Arabidopsis thaliana: one gene and its partner. The protein of the gene in region 2 interacts with the protein of the main gene of each other region in a pairwise test. Each region holds a gene or a part of one and is shown on either strand. Other genes may lie near its edges. The genes, in order: TINY2 and AT1G68360.

Region 1 (12,858 bases), on a different chromosome or scaffold from region 2:
ACCTGAATACAGCCACACACACAAATTCAAATGTGTTGGACACACGGAAGCATATACGCAACGTATATTTAATACATTGATGTATTATTCTTTGTTTTATTATCTACATTGTACTAGTTTTATATTTTAATTTAGTTATTAGGTTTTTTTTTGTTCCATTATTTTCTTATTATTAGTTGTTTTACTGTGCCAATTTCAACCTAACAGAGGGAGGTGTACTGGTGCCAATTAGCTTGTGCACAAGGAAATGGTCGGCTGAACCATATATAGCTGGAGTCTGGAGAGGTGAGCTGGCTATCTTTAGAATGCCTTGTTGGAGCGAGGAGGCTTCATTCCAGAAATTTTACATATTGGTTTGAGTGTTAGATATATTTTAAATTAGGTGGATATAAATAATAGAAATTAGGATTTAATACTCTTATAAGTTTTATTTAGAAATTATGAAGAATTTAAAATTTTTGTATTCTAGAAACAAGATCAGGTACGCCTAAACTCTATTCGATCATTTTTTGTCTCAAGGTAGCTAAATAACACGGAATGCATTTAAGCAGCTTATGTGGTTTCATTGGTTGATATCAAGCGTCTAAATCGATCAGTTTCAACAAATGGTTAAGCCATCTAACTAGCTGTTTAGATGGTTGGACGAGTGATTAAGCCATTTTTTTGCTCAATCAAACGGTCTAGATACTCAAAACGTTCTAATTCTTATGCAAAATAATTTATTAATATGCATATACCTATGTATTATCTAATTTATTTTGTTAGATATTTTCTGCTCTATATTAAATTGTAGAATAAGCTAATTAAAGTGAGCGCAACTTTGGATAGTAGTAGTATTTTATAATCTATATAAATTATATAGCCATGTAGTGTAAATTGTCAAATGTTTATTGTAATTTTCTTTTAAAATTTATCTTTTTCAACACTATTATATGATTGTCTATCAACTATTCGATACCTATAATCGCTTAGACATTACACGTTAAATTACTACCTATTGTCTAGCACTTTTTGCATATTATAATAATACTCAACATTACTAAATCAAGTAGCACTAACCCAAGATATTTGTACAAAACAATAATTAAAAGCATCCTCCTTGAAATAGCAACCGGCAAAAAAAGGTTTTCCACAAAGAATATTGTCTTTTAAAAGGCAATGCTTTGATTAATACGGACGTATTAGAGTTTATAAAATTGTATGTTGCTATTGCCATGGGTCTTTGCTGTTCTCATTATTGTCCTCTTTTTTTTTTTTTTTGCTTTGTGATCTTTTTACATATATACAATAAAAAACATTAATTATTATATGTTAATTCAACATACAATAAAAGTATATATTCTTCATAATATATCAATTTTAATTTGTTAATACAGAAAGATAATGGACGAAAAAGAAGATAATGGACAAAAGATTTGGAGATATAATGGTACATGCACATTCATAAGATTCTAAATGTATATTTCTATGTTTTTAGGTAGGATACAATTGTCTCAAACGTTAAACTTTTGGCGTTCATATGTTTTAATAGATAAGCAAATCACATTTGCAATTTAAAATTCTACATAAATTTTATCATTACAAAGTAAACGCACATTGCATTTGGCGTTTGCTGTTATAGTTTACATAACCGGATGAATACGCCAAATAACATGCATGGCTGACCGACCGTTAAATCAGTTTTCTAGCCTAATATTTATTAGTTTATTCTAATGATTTATATATGTAAATTCAACTCTAATTAATGGTCACCGTCAATTAAATTAGTCCACTAAACGTGATTAACCTGCCGACTTACTTGATCCGTAGATATTTAGACCAAAGCATATTAGTGGAGAATTTCAAGTGGTTCAGATACCCTTTAATTTTTCAGCATTTGTAAAGTCATTTTTGACGATTTTGGTCGAAATCTAAAAATAAAGTACTAAAGGAGTCAATAATTCCTTTTCCGTTTTTGGAGTTTAGCATAGTCCCATCATTAGACACAGATAAATTTGATTTAAGAATTTCAATACCTCACAAAAGATATGCAAGAAAGTTATGTCGGATCCACTCTAGATTTGCGTGGTATACTGTCGTTAATAAAACCTAATGAATTAATTTAATTATTCGTTAATAGTTAGTGGGGAATATATAGGTAGGGGCTACGTTTCGTGGATATAAAATCCAATGAAACCGTCAAGTTATTATGAACCAAAATCAACTCAATCTGACATTGATCGAATCATATTAAACTAGGTGAAGGGATGGTCTACACTAACTTAGTACTAATTTTCTTTAGCAGTCTAGTTTTAAGTTAGGTTAAGGGATGGTCCTGAACTAATCTGATATTTAGTGAGGTGTTTAAATAGAAAACATATATCGGTTTGCTTGTACGAGTCAGGTTACCTCTTTTGAATATATTCCCTGATTACGAAGAATTATCTCACTCGGGGTCGGAACTCTGATTGCTGAGTCAAATTTTTATATAGTTGTATATTTTGTTCATGCTTTTACTATTGATCATAGATTTGCTAAAAGAACGTGGAATTAAGCGCTGCTAAAATCCATTAATCCGTTAATAATATCCACCAGAAAAAAAAAAAAAGATACTATATAAAAGGCAATGTAAACATGAAACAGCTAGAGAGAAAAAAAAACACGTAACAACTAATTAACTGTTATACAATGTCATTTTTTCACTCTATACATTGACTAAAAAAATGGAATATTATATATAAAAATCATGATATATAATTAACAGATAAGAATATGAATCATTGTTCCATGTCCCACCCTCTCGTAAGAAAGTCTTAAGGTGTAAATCCAAAATCTTTAATATGTTTTAAACGGTGTCAGTGACATCATTACTGTATTTGTTTGGTAAATGGTAACAACAGTCTCTATCTTTATCTTTAACCAGAAAAAGACACTAGTCTTTATCCTGGACGAAGCTTGTCGTTGTATATCTTATTATAAACAAGATATCATGTTGTAATCTACAAAAACTTTTGGAGTTTGCAAACTATTAGACACATTTTACATTTTATTAAAGAGATCAGCATAATTGATATGTAACCTCAAGTAGCATAACAATGACTAAGACAGTTTAATTTCATGGATATTCCACTTTAGACCAAGTAGTTTATGGATCATCACATCTCTTTTTCATGATTATAATTATCCTAAAAACGAGATGTTGGAAGTTAAAAAGATATGCCTGTGACAGGACTAAATATGTCATATTATGATCATTCGTCATTCTTGTCATATAGATTCAAATAAATATTAAGCTAGCCTACATTTATTTTAGGGGTAATTACTTTTTCGTGTCAACTAGTTCCTTTTAGTTTTTTAAGCTACATTTACATTTCGTCTTTCGAAAATAACATTCTCATTTTGCTTTAACAGAATTACCCTTGAATTAATTTGTCTTTTTAAACATTGGACGTTAAAAAATAAAAATGTCGATGGATGCTGTTCACATTTGTAGAGTAATAATTAACGGACATTCTCAGTTCGAAAACTTTTAACAAACTTTCAACACTTTTCAAAATTTCTTGTTTATTATTGTAGTATATATTTCCAATAATATCACTATAAACTTTAGTTCTTTAGAAACTTTTTCAGTAAGTTTTATTTCTTTCACACGTTTTTAGAAACTTTAAACTTTCATAAGTTTCTCATGTAAAACATTGCAAGTCGTTTTCATCATTCAGTGATAGTTTTCAATTTTTTTTGTGTGAATAAAAAAATAAATCTAAATCTTAGATGACAAAATCTAAACTCTAGCTCCAAATGATCATCTTATATCTTGAGAACAAAAAAAATCATAAACCCTAATACCAAAATCTTAAATCCTATTTAGCTTCTTAATTTAAGCACAAGCAAATAGTGACGCCACAACGGTGGTGGTACGACAAAAGTTCGGCTATAAAGAAAATTGGATGTGGAGACATAAAATGAAGAGAGGAGGAACTCCCTTTAGGGATCCAAGTTATATGTGGAAATTAAATAGATGCTCATTCATTTTAATATTAATCTATTTCTTGATATATACATTCTTTTTTATTTGATGATCATTATGAAATTTTGATAAATTAGTCTTTAATCTTAACATATCGTAGAATAAGAACACAAACAAAAAAAAGTCATCTGTGGAGCTGGCTAATCAGATCTGAATTTATCATAAGCCTTTCTCTTTTTAATTCTAAAATAGAACGAGTTGTATGATATTTGTGTGGCCTATATTGTCTAACAAATTTTTTAAAGTGGGAAATTATGGTCATTAACATACTAATAGATGATAATAAAGTATTGCATGGATGTACATATGTGGCTGTGTATTGTTTGCGTCAGCTTGGACAAGTTGCTCTTGCTTTGTGTTTTCCCTCATTTTTTACCCTAACTCACATTCTCCGTTCCATTTATGTCGACAAAACAAAAATGAATGGGATAGTGAGACTCTAATTTACAATTAATGGTTAAAGATATTTCCTATAATTTTAAAAAAAAAACTTTTTTTGTCAAAGAAAACAAAAACAAAAACATTGAACAGTTTTTTAAATTTTGATGATTTGCATTATTACAATATCATAAAGTTAGTGGACTTTTATTTATCGCTTATTCATTTGATGATACTTACAAAAAAATCACTTTATTTTCCCTTCTTTTCCGACAAAAAAACCCGATATTTATATATTACAAAAAAAAAACACAAATAGAGTTTTGTACACGTATCATTATGGAGCTCACACCCGCTCCAAAAAAAAAAAAAAAAAAAACCTTTCTTAGCTAACACCAAAAAACTCAAAAAAAAAACAAAAACAGCAAAGGGTTTTAAAAACGTGATTAAACAAAACATTATGGCAATGATACAAAATAAACTGTTTTAAACAAAACATTATGGTAATGATACAAAATAAACTGTTAGAGATCCCATGACAAGCCATGGCCAAAATTAGGGCTAATTCCGTGACCATAGTTATCTTCGGACGACTGTCCCCACGGCGGCGGATATAAACAGTAGTCAACTGAGTCATAGAAGACAAACTCGTTCCCAAGGTTAGCCGAGTCGACGTCGTAACTCGCCCCGAGACTTGGAAGCTCCACAATCTCACCGAGCTCCTCCGACTCAGTCCTCGAGAGGTCCATCACCAACACAAGAGACTCGAGCGAAGACGTAGAAGACAAAGACGACGACGAAGACGTGGAAGATGAAAACGACGTCGTCGGTTCCATGTGAGCTGCTTTAAGAGCTGCTGTCTGAATGTCTCGAGGGCTTAATGAAACGGGTCGAGGGAATGAGTCAGCGAGTTCAGGGAAGTTTAGTATAGCGGCCGTTCCTTTAATGCTCAGAGCCGCCACGTCGTGTGCACGCGCCGCCATCTCCGGCGTCGGGAAAGTTCCCAGCCAAATACGTGATTTCTTCCTCGGCTCACGAATCTCCGACACCCATTTTCCCCAGTTCCTCATCCTTACTCCGCGATAAACAGGGTGTTTACCGGAGTCTCTCCCACGTTTAGTCTTCTTCTCGCTTTGCTCAGCTTTGCTTTTGTCACTCACTGAGTCAGACTCCGAGTTAGGGACAAGAAGCTGAGTTACTCTCTCCGAGCGGAGGCTGTAGTATTCCTCTGCCATTGTGTTAGCTTAGGCACAAGTATCGTACAAGTCTATTATTCTGATTGCTTTTTTCGATTCGGATCCCGAGATTAATGCAAATAAAAAGAAATAGCTAGGCTTCAGGGGGAAAAATATATAAGTTTGAGAACTATTCAAAATGAGGAAAAAAAACAGGGCAGTGAAGTGTGATGAAGAAATGAGAGAGAAACTTTGATATGAGAAGAGAAAAATGTTGGTAAAATTTTGGCTATCATTTCTCAGTCACTCAAAATATTTATATATGCATTAATATATTTGGGTACGGGTTAGAAGAGAGGGAATGGGACCAAAAACAATGCAATAAGTCTAATTGAATAAAGGAAATGGACCCAGTGGCTCCATTTATTTTTGTTTTTCTCACAGACCCACTCTATTTCTATATTGTGAATATATTGTTATTAGTATAAAACGACACACTTGGGGTCACTGTTTGCTTTAATATTTTTCCCGGTTCTTAAAATCTCATTATGCAACTAAATTAGGAAAACAAAATACTTTTCAGTATATTAAAAGATTATGAGACGACCATATTTAGAAGGGCAGTGTTGAAAAGAGATTTTGTCTCGGCCGGGTACGTAAATTATATGAAAGTTGTCTCCGAGATGAACATGATGAGACAAGCCTTTTTTGTTTTGTGTGGTAAGATAATTTTCACCTCAGTTTTACTGTTTAATTATCCTTTACCTTGATCTTCGACTCATTGGATCATACATTCCTATTTACATATTGGTATATATATATGCTCATCATGTGAAGGCAATATGTATCCACATATATGATATGCCATAATTGCAATTTAGTTTTGATCAGAATTAATATACATATTATTTACACGGATATAGAGTTATTGTCTTTCAAATTTTGATTTTCTATAAACATATTATATGAATGTCAACAGTTTTTGAAGATTTATTCAGGAAATTTTTTTAGTAAGTATCATATGTTTACTTTAGTTATATATATCGAGGGCTAATTAAAGGAACTTGTCTTAACCAATAAACCATATGCTTCGAGGCTAAATTTTAAATTTTGGAGAAATTTGTAACTGAGTGTTTTTTTTCGAGACACCAAATGGTGTGTGATTAATTGCACAATTTGTACTGATTTCATTTGAGAGGATATTTTATACTTAGACTTGAAAAGGTGTACTAAAGGGGGTTTAACCGTAAGTAAATTGATAATTAATACCTCTGTCCTGGTCTTAGAAAATATATGGGCGTAAGACCCATAAAAGAAAGAAATCTACCAGCCAATTGATATTAATTAGGTTAAAGTTGCTTCCAAACTAAAAAAAAAAGCCCCCAAAATTAGAGGTACAATATTGCAAATAAAGAAAAGAAGTTTGTAGAGGAAACTTCAAGAAATTTTAAGGGACAATAACTTGTTCAATCATGGGGTCGTATTTGCGTACCTATAAGGAAGGACGAGTGTCTGTCAAATATACACATACACTAAAGTCTTTTAATAATCATGCCAAAAAAATGTCTCTTAATGACGAAAAAATAATGTCTCTTAATAATCATTTTGGATTTTTCACAAGTAATAGCAATGTCTAAGTACTTGCAATGAAGAGAATTGTTTGTATTTTCGCCTCTCGTTTCAGCAATACGTATATGCATTTTATATTGATCATATACGTAATACTAATTAACAATAATATTGATCATCTTAAGTTTACTAAAAAAAAAAAAAAACTGGTCAACAAAGGTTTTAGAGTTTACAAGTTTCTAATTCAAAAATTATTGACATGAATATATTGACTCTTGCTTTATATTTATCCTAGTTAAACAGATTTTATGTGAGATTCTTACAAGTCTATTTAAGACGAGAACGAAAATAGTTTAATTGTTTTGAAAATATTGTTAGAACACGAGAACAGTTTATGAAATCAATCGGATTACAAAACCATTAAATAATTTTGAAACCTCTATTTAAAAGTCAAAACTAACTAGTAATGAATGAAAAAATAGAAAAAAAGAAAAATTATTCACTATATTTCAAAATATAAGATGTTTTAATTAAAAAAGAACTTTTTTTTATTTTTAAAACCTTTATTTTATATTTGATTTAATAAAATTCAACTAATAATATAAAATACTGCATAATATAAATGGTCACAAATAACAAATATATTTAAATTATCTATAAACTTGGAAAACATCTTGTAATATGAAACCAAATAAAATGTCTAAAACATCTTAGATTTTATCAGCTATAAAGGATTTAATTTTTTTTTGGGTAAGGATCTTTAAAGGATTTTAATTATGCTATTTGCCTTCGTATCCGTTATTCCATTTTACAAGATTGTTCAAGCTTCTTTTTACTCATTTCAGACACTGACCATTAATGAAGACCTTCGCAATAAACGAAGCAGACCCACTTGTAAATAGAGGGGAAAAAACATCTTTATGTAATTTACTTTATTTTATTTTTGGTCAATTTTATTTGTGTTTATTTAGGCAGACAAAACCAAATATCTATATCTTCCGACTATGGTTTTATTAGGCAAAATAAAATAAAATAAAATACAGAGACTATAAAGGCGATTTTTTTTCAAAGGGTCCAAAATAAGCCTTTTGGAAATAGAACTTTTCATCTTCTTCTTCTTTCTTTTTTATACAGGAAAGAGACATGTTCTTGGTTTGTGTTCTCGTCATTTGGTAAGATTTTAGAGATATATAGTACGGTCAAAGAACGTTAAATAAAAAGAAAAGGGGTCAAAGAACGTTAACAAACAAACATTATAGGGTCTGAGTTCAATTATTATACAATCTCTGGTATTTTCTTACGATTTTGTGAACTCTTTTTTTTTTTTTTTTTTTTAACGATTTTGTCATAATTTGTATTGGATAGATCTGTGATGGAATTTTATTTAGTTTTACAGAAAATCAAGCCAAGTCTGTTAAACAAATTTTTTCTCAATTTTTGAATATTAAATTTTTCAACTGCAACATTTTTTTACAAAATGTACACTGATATTTTCCCATTTATTTTACCACCTCACATCATTTTTTTTTTTTTTTTTTACGTTTCTGATAAGGCATAATAATATTTTGTAAGTTTCTTACAGTTTATTTCACCCGTTTCTATCACGTAAGTTGTCCTATCGTTAGACCATCCCAACTACAAAAACTAAAGTGATAGTAGATGGAATACTAATTAGACTTGAGGTGGCTTAATTAATTTTACGGAGGTATACATTGTGTTGTTTTCAGACGAAAACACATTTATATTGAAGTTAGAGAATATACATATATATGCTCTCCAGATTCTTCTCTGACGAATAAGCATAGAATTAAATTGAAGTTAATATCATATGGTGTGTAGTTTTATTCCCTATTCAACATATATATGTATCACTATCTTGTGTATGTTCCATTGAGAGACAAAAATTGACAGACAGAGAAAAATAAGACACGTCGAGATGTAGGACATTTACTCTTAACATGTTTTTGCTTTAGAGAGTATAGTACTAGTCAACGAAACACGCAAATGATTGTCATTATGACCCATAAAAATCTTGAATTGCTAAAAGTATTCTAATTAATCAAATATTGGTCGATGAAACATGGAAAACGATATTAATCTGCTTCGCTATCTTTGTTGATTTAACAACGTAATATATGCTGATGAAAAATACAAAAACGTACGGTATCAGTTAATTAGTTCAAAACCCCTCTTTGTATCATTGCGGTCGTTATCGTATCATATTTTGGATTCGACCTTGATAATACGTGTCAGCTATTTCATTTTAGATTGGGACTGACAAAAATAATTAAGAATCATGACTCGTTGTCATGAAGATTTTACATAAATTTAAGATTTTATTGGTTTTAGAATAAATGAATTTAGTATAATGTACAAATTTGTTGAAAAATCTAAAACACCGACACGACTGTGTGATGGAGATAATAGGAACATTAGCCCGAATACGACGATTATACGACCAATTGTCACGCGAGCTTAGCAATATTGGTTAATTCAGATGAATTAGCACGAAATTATTTGATAAGTAAAATCAAAATCAAGTGCACGCAGTTACGAATCTTGGTGGTCAATTAAATAACGGAATACATAAGATATTTTTCATTTACTCTACAGAAAATTATACACTCATGATTCCCTATAATGGAAGAGAAAAACAGTCGACAAAAAAAATAACCTACATCATATACACTCACATCAGTATTATAGAAAGTCATATTATTGGGATTGACGATGTATGAGTAATCGTTTGATTGCTACTATTTATTTTAAGATTGTTGATAGATAAGTGTGACCAGTCTTAAAAAAGACTGTGACCACTCTAGGGAATTCATTTCATTACCGTTATAAAAATCATTTAATAAGATTAGACCTTTCGATGTATTAGATGATTCTTCAATTACCTTTTTCTAATCCATGACACACATATATAACTATGACAGGTTAAAATGATGAAAAGTTAGAAATCATAAGATTGTGTAAGAGACGGACAAAACATACAAAGAAAACATGATCCTGACTCAAAAAGTACATCAAATATCAACAGTCAAAATTCACCATCACCATTTATTGTTGCCCACTTCTAGTTTTTTTTCTTTCATTTACACCCAATTTTTCGGCAGAGAAAACAAATCATTATTGAAAGAAGATATTCAGGGAAATTGAAGAAGGTCTTGACTATTGAGTGCCTGACTATTTCGACAGCTTCAGTCCTGCTGCTAGTTTGTCACATGCAATTGCTTGTTTCATGATATAGTAGCCGCACAGTGACTTTGATCAATATTTTCCAAAAAGTTGTTTTTAGAGGCACACAATTAAAATCTTCTGAATTTTATATTGGTAGATGACATTTTCGGCTGTGTAATAGAATTTGTTTCTAAGTCGTTTAAGAGAAACAAATGGTTAGAGATTAGGATGGTTTGAATATGAATATATTAACTAAAACTGAATATTTCTTGAAAAAATTAACCAAACAAATTTTCAAAAGTTTAGCTCCTAATTAAGAAAAGAGATGGCGAAAGAAACATTAAACATATAGATTCTGTAATCTTGTGAGATGAAACTTGTCAGGAAAAGTGATGCTGTGTTCATGAAAGATCAAATGATTAAGGATATAAAAAAACTATGGAAGACTCATAGATATGAAAATTTGATCAATTCAAAAGTTATACTATTCATGCTTTACTAAAACTTTATACTGAACTATTGTGTCATGGTACATCCTCAATCATGAACAACATTTTGAGCATATACAGCAACGATCTCTGAGCACTTTATTCGATTTTTTCCTAATAACAAGTTTGTATGGTTTACACTTTCCTTCTCTTGTGGCTTAGGATGAAATCATCATCATCATCGTCATCATCATCGACGACTTTCTTCTTCTTTCTCGCATCTAAACCGTTGTTCTTGGATGCAGATGTTCTTTGAGAACTCTCCGCTTTACTAGAAAACGTTGGTGCCGATTTACTCGGTGTCCCCATTCGAATTTGCTTCATTTTTCTCTGCTTTTTCTCAAAGGCTCGCTTCGCCTTTTCGGGAGACAACATACCATGTTCCATAAGCCTGATTCAACACATTTATAACCATTCAAGTTTTAGCTATAAATGAGCCAAGACAATGTACTAGAAGTTCATCATAATGACTTGTCAATAGTGTTTTTCTCACCAGAACTCAGCCATTTCACTCCCAGGTATTTGTTTCGACAAGGATTCATAGAATATCCTCAAGGGCTCTCTCTGCAAAATGCAAAAGACAGATAAACCAAGAATCAAGAGCATGATCATAAAACAGAGATCTAATAAAGCAATCATTAAAGATGTCTAATAACCTCTTCAGGAGGATCAAACTTTTGTCCAGCTAATGAATAAACCTTCTTCTCTCTTTTCGCTTTCCCTTTCACCAAGCTTACTGTTGCAGATGTTGTTTTCGCTTTCACCAAGCTCACTACTGTAGATGTTGTTTGCGCTTTCCCTTTCACCAAGCTCGCTGCTGCAGATGTTGTTGCTATGGTTTTCACTGAATTTATAGGTACTTTGGGCTTTGCCTTCACAAAAGTTTTGCAGAAAATATGTTACAAGTTCGACCTAGAAACCAAAATATCCGAAAACCACGTCATGATGAAAACTTCGATCTACAACGAATCCGAGTCTTAACAATAAAATTTTCCACAGAAGTTTTATCTAACAATGAACAATCTACAATTCGATGCACTCCTTTAGAGCTAGATCGGCTTTAATCCTTAAGGAATTTATAAAAATCAGAGAACCCAAATCAGAAACTTGCGATCAAAAACTTTAACACAAGAGTTTTCCCGATTGATACCTCGGATTTCGCCGTGACGGTAGAAACAGAGGATCTGGGTTTAGAATCCGACATGATCGGTCTGCTAGAGGTCGCGATCTTCTTTTTGTCCTTAATAGACGGATCGATCTTGACTCTGGAAGAAAGAGAAGAAGACGCATCGCGTGGCTCGCTCTTAGCTGAACTAGGTCTCTCCTGTGTCGCCATGAAAAAGCTCAGATTAACCTGAAGTTCAGCTCAACTACTTTTTCTGCTTGAAAAATCCGACAATGATTCCTTGAGCAAAGAGAGATGCAATCTTCCGATTAAGTCTTGCCGCTTTCCTAGTTATGTAATGAAACGGTAAAAACTGGAAAGTTAAAAACGAACGATTTGCGGTTACCATATTAACGGTAATTTAAAAATTTACACGAGGAATAATAAACACTCACCAATTGGAGGTTTTACACCTTTTTTTTACAAAGTTGTAAAAATTTGTTGAATGATGAATCTTTTAAAAGAAATAAGTATATAATTGTGGTAATCAATAAAAGTAACCAGATTATTTTCTTAATTTTGAAATACTTTGATTAAATACTAATTTTTAACCTTTGAAAAAGTTTTACAAGTTCATTAACTTAACAATGGATCTATTTGTAATCAAGTCCAATTGGCTAATATGAATCAGTAATCTACAAAATACAATCTTCCGGAGACGTAGTTAATTATTGGCAAGTAGCAAAGGCCAAACCAAAACCCTTGTCAAACCTAATTAATCTGGCTAAAACGTTTGAAAAACTCGGTTATACCAAACCGAATGAAGAATCATATGAAATATATCATACCGAACCGGTTCACCATCATGCCACATGAAATGTTTTTGAACCTTCAAAACCCTCTTTTGCATCTCCACGTATCTCCTCACCGGAATCGATATCAGAATCTTCCTTA
Region 2 (12,200 bases):
AGACCAATTTTCCAAAGAGTTTCGAAACTACTAAAAATCTCGATCTTGAGAAGACCCATCATCCCAAGACTCAAGCTAATTCCCATAAAACAAAGAAGATCCAAAAGGGTCAAACTCCTTCAGCAACACAACTATAAATTTCTCCAAGAGTATCAATTCTCTCCTTCAAGTACATCCTTTATCAAATGCTATGGGAAGAGCATTCAGATATCTAGATCGGGTCTTAAACGCATTTACGGGTTATTGTTTCTTTCTCAGTGTATCGGCCGGTATAATGAAAATGATGACACAATAACGCAAAGTTGGATGGAGATGGAGCCTTTTCATTATGCCCTCGGAGTTGCTTCTCCTGCAAGGGAGCATCTGCAGCCGTTCGATTACTTCAGCGAAGATGATTCGATTGACTTGAAGGCTGAGAGATTCATCGAAAAGTTCTATGATGAGATGAGAATGCAGGCGCGAGAATTTGCTTGATTGACCAAATGTCAAGTGTTATTAATTACTTTTTGAATTTGGGATTCTTTTCTACTTGTGTTAGTTTTCTTTTACACGTGATTGGTATTGTTAATTGTCTCCACATCATATTTAAGATCTTGGAGACTCAGTTATTTCGCTCTATTTGAGTATTTGATTCTATCCATTTACAATTTGAAGTTCTATCATTTCCTTGATTTGATTCTATAAGAATTTAATTAGAACTAGGCTCTTGAAGTTGAATAAGAAGTTGGCCCATTTAAGTGTTTGTCTTTATTCTCTGGAAGTTTTTCGTTTAATTGGGGCCTTTTGTAATCCAAATCCTAAATATTTCAATCATTAACTGTTATGGGCAAATGCCATTTTCCAACAATTTTAATCACAAATTGTTATGGGTATGCCGTATGCCTTAGCTAGTCTATTGGGCCACCCAATTTTTGCATGTTCGCATGTTAGACGCAAGTTAGATACATTTATACGAGGAGAAAAAAGGAAGACGTAATGGAGCAACGAATGAGAGATCGACAAGAGGAAGACATGTCTTTTTACCACTTTTATTTCTGAAACCGGTAGGACAGTATCGTACGCTAGTCCACTTCAAGAGTTTACATAATTGATAGTATATTATTTGTTATGTATGTATCGAACAAGTACATACGTGCACTTTTGTTTTTTCTTTTCTTGGGTCCTCATGCCACTTCGATTCTCAAAAGATATATCTTTATGTGGACCAACGACTTAAGCAATGAACTAAAACGAGCACACATTACGTCCCACCCCATGTGAGTTTAAAGTTATAGTTTCTTCTTGGATTGTGCCTATACGCAAGCCAATCAACATTTTTAAAACTCGACCTAGAAATGTTCTTGGAACGTATGAAATGTCATTTGGGTTGTTTCTTATTCAAAAGTTTTGTTCTATTCAAATCCATACACTTATTACGTGAAGCGTTCTAATGGAACGCATGGAATGTCATTTCGGTTGTTTCTTATACATATTACATGTAACTTTGTCATTTGTTTATCAAATTTTGTAACTAACGGGAATCTGGAATATAAAAGGGGAAAAAGGTGTATCCCGACAAGATCTAGTACTTTATTCTTATCATATATGGAATTGATCTATCGACATCATAATTGTAAATACATTGTAAAAACGTTAAGAGAGAAAGGAACTTTCTTTGGATATACTTAAGCCACAGACTTACTTGGAACCAACGAGGCTTCGACACACATCCACAGCATCTTTCTTCTCTTTCCATATTTCATGTCAACAAAAGCTAAACCCTAGGGATTGTCTTGCTTTCACATGTCCGTATCACTTTCCACGTAAGCCCTATCGTGTTTCTTAGATGGAATCTGAATTGTCATATTAGTGCTTGTCCCTAACCTACCACAACGTACTTTAACCACTAACCTATCTCCACATTACTCTTATACCCACAACTAATTCTTGGTTTCTTAGAGGAGCTGAAGAGGTAAAAGGAAACAAAACATGTGTTAAATAACTTGTACCAACACAACGGCCTGACTCCATGCTTCCGCTAATCCACCATCAACCGAAATAAATCGATTAGCTTACGCATAGAAGTTATATGATAATGGTTCTTCAGATACTCAATCATATTTTCTATTTATTTTTCGTTTATTTAAACTACCAAGTTAAATTATTATATCAATCTTTTAGTTTTTAAAAATACTTTTTGGGGAAGAGAATTTAAATATTTTTTATAAAAAAAATTAACTTAGATTAAAAAAAAAAAGTGGGTTAGAAAAAAATTCGAAACATCAGTTAGAAATTACAAGTTAACTTAACAAATTTTCTTACAAATTAAACAAAAAGATAAGGGGAAGAGAATTTCGTTTATCTTTAAAAAAAAAATATTACACAAATTATGGTATTTTCTTAACGTGAACAAAATTAATAACTACTAGCGCATGTATGATACAAGTGGACTCCTAATGCATGATGAGGACCATACAAAACATTATACTTTCTCCCATGTGTTATTGGAGAATATAGCTAGGGTTAAAAGTCTAGACTACTGTCTACTGCGACTGTGTATAATAAAGCCGAAATCATTGTTTTCTATTATTTTCGATTTTTTGTTAGGTGGTGATGCATATGTGCATGCATGATACATTATTGAAGATCCAATGTTTTTGATATTGTAAGCCAATGAGATTATATGCAATGTATATGTGTAATTGTCAGACTGGTAAAGCAAAAGCATAAATAAGACGTACCCTCAAGAGCAAAAAATTTAGTGGGTATCTTTTAGATTAGGGTGTATATATTGCATGATTGATGGTGTGATAAGGACTTAGATGATTCCTTAAAAAGGACACATGGTGCAGCAAAAAAGCACGTTTAGGGACTACGAAAAAACTTTCCCTCCAAAAAAAGTACCTTTTACATATACAAACATGAAACATACACTTAATATTGTTATTTTTTTGAGGTGAAGTTTACTGATTAAAAAAAAAAAAAAAAAAATTAAAGACTATTGCTAAGAGAAGAGTAGTAGAATGCCACCCAAAAAAAAAGAGAGAAGAGAAGTAGAAAAGAATAGAACAATAATGTTTAAGAGAATCCTCTTGTATGGAAATATTGACAAAGAAAATCTCTATATTCGCTGGATTCTTGGTACCCGAGTGAGACTACGCGGTTAAAGGCAGAATTTTCGATGATGCGGATGAGATAGCTATTTCGTAACAAAAAAAGACACAGATAACACTTGAAATGTATATGTACACAATTCATCATATTTGTTTTTTGTATTCAGTGGGAAAAATAATTTGAGTTTTGTAGGATCGTCGACTAATTAATGATGACGTCTCTCTAATTGAGAAATTTGGAAGATAACTTTTCTGAAATAATGGAAACGTACTTTTCCCTGACCGGTAGAGAAATGTTTTACGTGCAGATTAAAATTTTACCCCAACACATCATCTAAGTGTCTAACTACACAATAAACCAAAAAAAAAGTTTCTAACCAAGCAATGTTCAAAACTACTTTCTAAACTTATAAGTATATAAATACTCAACTGCTCCAATTCCCATCACACCTTACTATAAACACACATAGACACATACATATGTGCCAATTGCATTGTTAAGTATCTAAAAAACAAATATGCTTTAGGTCATGTATATTTTATTTGCTCATGGTGACTAGGATCCCATTTCATGTTGAAACACGAAATGCGCTGGTATACCTATACCCCCTACATATTAGTATACGATTGTTAATTAAATTAATTTTATAATTTCAAATTCGGGGACCCGAGGATTCTTCCTAGCTTGTGACATGTAGTATTTTCTAAATGTTGAGGTAAGCTATTTTATTATTAAAAATTGTTCTTCTTTTGGTATTACATATCCACATTCGTTAGAAAATATATGTTTTAAGAATAAACAAAATGTTAGCATAGTGTAAGATACCTCCATTATATAAGTACCTGTATGCCTTAATTATGAGATATATAGGAGCCTAGTGATATTTAAAGTCGAAGAAAACGTATCACGTTGTCACAATCATTTAAAAAATTGTATTTTCGACCCGGGTTTGTATATGCATGTAGATTGCACATACCAAAACTCTATCTCTATGTATGTTGACATCTCTCTTTATAGCCGTTGCTAGTGGTTACATGTATGCTCCTAAAGGGAATAATTAACTGAAGATTTGAGAGTATTTGACTTTGAAAACCTGGAGTTGAATCATATTGACCAAAAGATTATAGTGGTCCTACAATCCCTAAATATGAGAAAATTTTAATTATAACCAAATTGTGTTAGAGAAGTAATTTTAATTCTAACCAAATTGGGTAATCTACTAAATTTAATTCTAACAAAACTGTGTAATCGACTAACAAGACCATAGACCAAAACTCACTAAAGCTGTACATAATTACTACGATGCTAATTGTAGATTAACTTTTTCCATTGTTGTAAAACAGAGGCCTACCAACAATTTTCGAATCTAAAGTAATAATTTTCTATACTTTGGTTCTAAAAACCAATATGTCAAAACTGTGAGAATTCCAAAAGTAATTTGTGCATAGACTTCAGAACAGCTTTTGTCCAAAAAAAAAAGGACTTCAGAACAGATTTGAAGGCGTATCAATTTCAAACGCAATCCGAAAAAGGTTGCAGCGTGTCCCTTTTGACTAATTTTAAGCACAATTTTGAAGCAAATTTGTGAGTAAAGGTGTAGAGTTTTCATACTCATCTTTGCATTCTATTGGCCTGACAATAAAAAGGCTTTGAAAAACGATTGATCTAATGGATCTGAATATTGGAATTATTATTTTGTATGTGTTTAAACATACATTCTATAAAATCACTTTCAGTGCACCTGACAACTTATCTCCTAACGTTTATTTTTATATTTTTAGTCTTTGGTCCTATTGTTTATATTTTTTTCTTGGAGTCTCAACAAATATTACCTTCTGGAATGTTTTTTCATGAATTGGTTAAGCATTTTGAGACTCTACTTTTTGTGGTAGTAAAGCATAATTGGAGTCTAAACTAGTAAAATATTTATTAGGCAAACAATCACTGGAATTTAAAGTCATTAATTAAAAATACTGATAGAGAAAAAAAAAATCACTAAAAATAAATAAATTAATTAAAATGTTGATAAATATACAAGAGCTTTAAAAAACACGTCAATGACCAGCAGGTGCAAGACTGAGATGCAAATCCAACCCTAAACCATCATCAAAAGTAGTTCCTACTTCTCTTGAAAACCCATTAACCGATGGTCTCGGCCCATGGGCCTGAACATGTCTCATCTGAGCCCCAACTACTCCAAACCCTGAATCACGAGCCCCATACTCGTACGAGAACCCACCAGCACCCGCACCACCCGAACCATCTTGGATGACGCAGCCATGAGACACGTGAAGTTGAGATGGAGAAACACGTGGAAGATACATCCAAGGACCTCCCATAGGCTGAGGCACGGCGGATGATGATAAAAGATGAGGCGGAGGAGCAAAAGCAGAGACTATAGGATTCCTTAAAAACTGAGACGCTGATCCAGCGTTTGAGAAATTTGCGGCTGCGTTTCGTGTAGCTTGAAGCTGAGCACGTTTAAGCTGTTGACGCTCTTTCTTGTGAGCGTTTTGGTGACCACCTAAGGCTTGTGAGTTACCAAACTCTCTACAACAATACTGACACTCATACTTACGTTCTCCTCCTCCTCCTCCTCCGCCTCGGCTTCGTACACCACCGCCACTTCTTCCGGAAGATCCTGCCGGAAACTCGCCACGTTCCGGTGATACAGAAGATAGGTTAGTTTTGACTGATTGATCGGAGAAATCTTCTTCTCCATCAACACTAAATCCAAATAGCTTTAGACGAGAAGTTGTTGTTTTTGAACTAAAATCCAGCTCCTCCATTAAATATGTATGTCTTTAGAGAGAGAGAGAGAATTAGAAAGAAAGAAAGAGATATGTTGAATAAGGCTTATAATAAGAGGAGGTTGATGAGTGAGGGCATATATTTATATAAACTGAGATGTGACTTTGTACAGTAACATGGGAGACACTGTGCAAGTGTGTGTTGTGTGAAAGATATGAGAGATTGTTGTGTGATTAACTTTGGTTTTTGTTTTCTACGTATTTGTTTTATTTTTCGGACATCCCAAGAAGAAAGAAAAAGAACAGTGAAAGTGGGAGTTTGAGGAACACACGAACCGAGACGACATGGATAATGGGACCCTATTGGATTTCATTTGTCTCCTTTTTTTTCATGTGAAAGGAAGTTTCAGTTTGGCTCTACTTTTATGTGTTTATTCTTACTAGTTCTCTTCGGGAAAATTCATATGTTTCCACCTACTTTTTAATGTGATTCTGAAGCAAAAAATAATAATTACGACATACTTGTTTTAAAAAAATTACAAATCTTTTTTTAAAAATAAATTTCTAAATGATTAATAAAAAAAAGTAAAAAACCATTGATTTGATGCGTTCTATGCGTTTCATGTAAATTATGTTATTTACGAACTTGATTTTGCTATTTATTTTGAAATTAAAAATAAGTGAAAGAAGTTTTTAAATGTAACTATGAGAGATTTAATTTACCACAAAAAATTTGTATAGACTAATTTGTTTTGGTATATTTTTTTATTGTTTTGCAAACTTTTTGAACATATTTTTCTACGATGCAAATATATTCTCAGCAACATACTAAGTTCGGAGATTTGTTAATGGCAAATGTTTTAGTAGATTTAATTTCATGGAGGTACACCTAATGTTTAAGACACTAGCGCTCCTTAATCTAATTTAAGATTCACAAATTCTTAAAAAAACTCTTTATATCCCACAAAAAAAAACTTGATTTTTCTACGATGCAATCGCCTAAATCTCAAAACAACTCATCCATAATAAACATATTGAATTATATATCAAACTAGTCCTAGATATAAAGTACTCATTTTCCTCCTAGAACTCTGACTTCTTTCCAATTTTGTTTATCAATTCCAACTAAAACGTCGGAAACATAAGTTTATGTTCTTGTTCACATAAGCTAATATGACCATGATAGTGTGTTAGTTTGTTGCGCTCTCATAATGAAACGAAAGGAACAAACATTCACAAGATATTGTAACGGGTCTTTCTTGATTCTTTAACATCTGACGTTTTCTCAGAATAAAACAAATATATATAATCTGAATTTCTTTTATAAATAAATTTGATCCGGACAGTTGGTAATCTAATCTAGAGCAGTCAATAATTTTTAGGATATTTTGTTTGTTAGCTAAGAATGTATTGTCGTCTGTAGACTAAGTCATTTTATATTAACCTACAAATACAATGAGAGAGTTTCTAAAGCTACTCAAGAAAGTCCCGTGATACCTAGACCTAAGTTGGAATAACATCCAATTTGTATAATTATTGTAACTTCCAAATTTCAATACCATATGTAAGTCGAGAGACCATAAACATTTTAACTTATACATTATTCCTCCTTTTGTCTTGATATTCCATCTCTCTAGTTACCTATTGTCTTGATATTCCATCTCTTTAGTTACCTATTGTTCCTCTTTTTTTAATTCTTGATTCCATATCTCGACTTGGTTTGTAACCCAGATGATGATTTGAAAGTGACTTACTTACAGAATTTGTAATCCAAAGTTTATAGTTGATGTTTTAGAGGGGAGAGTCCCCACGAAATGTACCGATTGTTATACCGAAAACTCGTTAAATCTTAAGTATTTTTAATGTTTTACTCTCATGCAATTGACCATAAAATTTAAGTATTTATCAAGTTAATCACTTACAAAGTCGTTTAATCAACAATTTTTTTTTATTTATTTTTTGTAGTTGGCTAAATTAAATTAATATATATATGTAGAAAACTAATTAAAAACTTTTTCTAAAACCATCCAAAAATTTAGAACAACAGTTATGTTTTTTAAATTAGTATTTTCATATTTTACTTAAAATTTCACCCAAAATATGTATTAGTACAAAGTAAAAAGATGCCGACAGACGGAAAGTGATTAGTAAAGTCAAGATAGAGTAGATGCAAACAAATGTTATCACAAACATAAAATTGCTTCGTTAATTGAAAGAGAAAGAAAAAAAGACAAATCATAATGTGGGATGTGATCTGAAGTGACCCAGAAGCCAAAAAGTTTGAAATGTGTGACAAAGAAACATGAGAATCTAATTGAAGATGTGAAAATAAAAAAGGAACAAAAGTCCCACATCTCACTTCTGTGTGTCCCACGTGTCTCCGTCGCATTATCGTGCGTATCTATTTTCAGATACGATCTCAAAATTTTAATGAAAGTCAAATAACTTAAATTTATGAACTATAATTGCAATTTACTTTCTTACATCTAGTAAGGATGTCTTTAATTATGACTATATTAGAAATATATGTTTGCATGTACCACACTTTGGGGCCTAAGGTAAAAATTGTCAACGCAATTCTTTTATACTTATCATAATTTAGTTTGCTTTCAAAGTGAGTTGTGAGTTTAGTTATAGTGTATTTACATATTAAAAAAAAAATTGCAACATATATATATATATATATATGTATATATTAATATTATAATAAGTAATTTTTTAACAGAAGATTAACCCCTAAAATCTATAGATTACCGAGTTTTAATTATTATCGATCATTTTAATAAATTAATAAAAACTCATGTTAGAGATCTTTTAGGTTTATAGATAAAAAAATGAGTTTTATTTTTGAACATGTTTTACCACGTAATTTTGTTCTCTCAAAAAAATGTTTTATATGGGTTTAAACTTGAATGGGAACGTAGCAATTCTACAAACACAAATTACTATTTTACCATCTATGGTTAACATTTTTAAATGAGTTATAATGAATTACTATAGCTGCACATAATTCAACTATGGTACCAATAATTTCGAGTTAAACATATATCAAACTTTCGAAATCTCGATTTGAAAGAATGTTCAGTTTAACCTCTGAATAAGTAAAGATAGTTTGGTGAAAAAAAGGAATTTGAAGAGAAAGCTAAGTAATGTGGAAACTACTTAAAAGTGGGGTTTGTTAAGGAAAAAACGAGGAACGACCAAAATAAAGTCTCAGATGTTAACATGTTCCCCACGAATTACGTGCCAAATGACGAAACCTTGTTTCACGAGTATGTTCGCGTGATTGACGTCAAAATTCACACACACACGTTGTTAATAACCTTTTCTATATCAATTATAATACTTGGAAATATAATTATATATAGAGGGCTCAGAGATCTGCGAATCTTACTAACTCAATTAAAAGTTAATTGGGTGGTTTGAGATTGGATTAAGGCTTTACTTTGTACAAAAACTAAAGATTAATAATTGTGTGAACCCTCATAAAACTAAAGTCTTTGTTAGGGGTGGAGAAATGTCCCATCTTGTCTACCTTTTAATTATATCTTCCACGATAATCTACATAATTAGTTTTTGGTTGTTTCCGTCTATCTTCTTTTTAATATCTCTTCTCATACCAACAATAGCTTACTATGAAAAAACGACGGGTGATAAAATTGTAAATAAATTAAGTTTGATCGTAAATAGTCATCTAGAAATTAAATTCACACTGAAAGAAATCCCTACTCGAATTGATTTGTTATATAGATATGAAATGATATTATAAAGTTCATTCAGAAGTGTGTGGAAGATGCTTTAAATTATTATTATTATCTTTTTAAATCTCTTGAGATCTCTCTTTAATGGAGCACATGATCATAGAATTCGGCTCGGTGGGTTTGCTAAAACATTTCTTTTAGTGTTGTCAAACGTCGATTTTGCTTGAACACATCTTTGAAAGTTTGAAAAAAAAAACCGACTTAAAATGTTGTTTAAAACTTAGTATTCGCTTCAAATTAAATTTCTAATTTTTAGTTAACAAAACATGTATATAAGTATATTAATATTAACATACTCAAAATTTTGTAGACTAGACCTAATATTTTATGCTGTAACGAAAAAGGCTGATAACATAAATAGTTTATATAATGTGTATATTGGATGAATTTGAGAATTGATTCCTAAACAGACGCTCCTCGATATGCATGATGTCATGTGGACTTCGCATAAAGAAGACCTAAAATATTATCTATGCACAATTGATATATGTAGGAAGATTATATTGTCACTTGTTCGGGTGTATGATTATAAATATAATCATGTTATATGTCAAATATTTCTTATTGGAAACAACTAAAAGCAAAGAAGATGCCCAACATGCAATTAACATTCTGCTTTTTATCTTTAGAGTATCCAATGAACTTTGTTTTTGACTTTTGTTAATAATGTTTTGTGCATCGAGTAATATGTTCTTTTCTCGTCTCCTGGTGGAACTCAAGGACTCTAATCATGTATGTGTATGGATATTTACTTAAAAAAACGCATACAATCATAATAGATAGGTCTATCCTATGACTAAAAAAAATAAAGATTGGCCTATCCTATGACAAGGAAAACAAGGATTGGCCTATCCGGAAATTAATTTTAAAATGTAATCTAAGAGTTCAAATATAAGTCATAGGTTTTTTCTTGTGGGGACCAGATATATAAGTCATTTTTTCCCGAACTTGACATAGTCATTAAGTTCTCATTCTTTGTTTCATCATGCAAATGATCTCTTATATATCATCTTAGATCTGTTATAATGTTAAATGTAGGATCCTAACACGCTTTTTTATAGTGACTTTTATATGTCTATTTTGAACCGAATCTCATTTTAAGATCAACTGACCTTTCTATAACGATATATACACTAGATCCGCTTTAGAAATTGAGCTATTAATCATAGGTTGTGGCGCTTAAATTCCACTTGTTACAAAATCGATTTTTTGTAGGTGATTCTCATGAAACCTTATCTATGTTTATGATTGAATTGTCGCCAGCCGAAAAATCGCCTTTCCATCAAGTCACCAACAATACGCTAATGCAAATATTTGTGTTTGAATCAACCTTATCTATGTTCAAGGATGTATAATCTATTAAGTTGGATCGAACGATTTGAAGACAAAAAGATATCGGTTTAGGTCCTGCCAATTTAAAAGAAGGAGCAAGTTTGGAAACTAATAAAGTGAAGGAGGAAAAAAGAAGCTATGAGGAAGTGGGTGGACATAGACACTTAGGTTTTCTCCACTGATGTAGGATTACACATGTGGTTATGGATCCATATTGTTTATCTCTTGCGAGCATAAAATTGAAATTCTTTATTTATTGTTCTTTTTTTTCGTAGGGGTTCTAGGAAGTTAGGAACCATAAGCCATGTTGGTCCCACTTTGTAAAACACACTGCAAGAATTCCAGAATTTTTTAAACAAACTTGCATCTTCTTGGGCTAATTACTAATCTTGAGTCTTAGAACTGGTTTCACCAGCAATTGTCCACATAATAATTTGACCTATAATTTATGGCTTAACTTTTGCATTCTTTAGATCAACTTTAGGATATGACCTAAAAATAAAACTACTTTAGGCTGAGACTTAGACACTAAAGAATAATTAACATATATACTAATGAATACCAGTTTAAAAGGAAAATGAGGCTAAAGTATTTGCCAGTTTTCACTGACTATAGAGTTTATAACAGTGAAGAGGCTTTGGCTATCTCCTTTGATATTAGACAATGCTTTGGTAATTAAAATGTCAAATTTATATTAGATTGAAATAAAAGATATAGTCCATGCGAGAAAATAAAATAAAATTGTACATGAAATATTTTTTGTTTTTGCCCTTTTTTTTTGCTTTCTTGTTAGGTGGTGGTAAAAGCACGTACTAGTGATAATGCAATCCAATTAGATTATGTATTTAATTTTATGTCACTATGTGACTAGATTTGACTTAAGTAAAAATTATATATGGTTTGATAGATAAACCACATAGCAACAGAATTATGAAACGATTTCATAGCTTCACTTTACTAATTACAAGCTACTTTTTGAAATTTTCTTACCACATGTTTTCCGACGAGCATAAATCAAAGCTAATAATTGGTTAAACTATTTTTTCCCAAAGAAGTGGCGACATCCCAACTCGTGGAATAGTTTATATACCAAAATTGATGACAACCAATAGCCAATAAGTTTGAAAATCTGAAAATAGTGGTGTTTAATCTCATTAAAGTCATAATTAATCTCGACTTTAAAAATAATTATTTAGTTACTAATCTCTTCTTCCATTTTATTATACAACATGATGTCCCGGCAAAAGTGTTATTTCTTGACGAA

The links.
Region 1: the proteins of AT1G68360 (region 2) and TINY2 interact in a two-hybrid assay, tested with the Arabidopsis thaliana proteins (one large-scale study listed by BioGRID).

Annotation. Positions count from the first base shown.
Region 1 is NC_003076.8:3,722,881-3,735,738, forward strand, and holds TINY2 (Integrase-type DNA-binding superfamily protein), read right to left. Parts: upstream 5,847-12,858; 5' UTR 5,620-5,846; coding exon 4,909-5,619; 3' UTR 4,573-4,908; downstream 1-4,572. Other genes in the region: AT5G11600 (uncharacterized protein), read right to left, coding at 10,935-11,190, 11,293-11,363, 11,456-11,671, 11,950-12,135; AT5G11610 (Exostosin family protein), read right to left, coding at 12,689-12,858.
Region 2 is NC_003070.9:25,616,531-25,628,730, forward strand, and holds AT1G68360 (C2H2 and C2HC zinc fingers superfamily protein), read right to left. Parts: upstream 6,064-12,200; 5' UTR 5,883-6,063; coding exon 5,148-5,882; 3' UTR 5,003-5,147; downstream 1-5,002. Other genes in the region: AT1G68350 (cotton fiber protein), read left to right, coding at 1-474. UniProt on the Arabidopsis thaliana protein: Probable transcription factor required for the initiation of inflorescence trichomes in response to gibberellin and cytokinin. Acts upstream of GIS, GIS2, ZFP8, and the trichome initiation factors GL1 and GL3.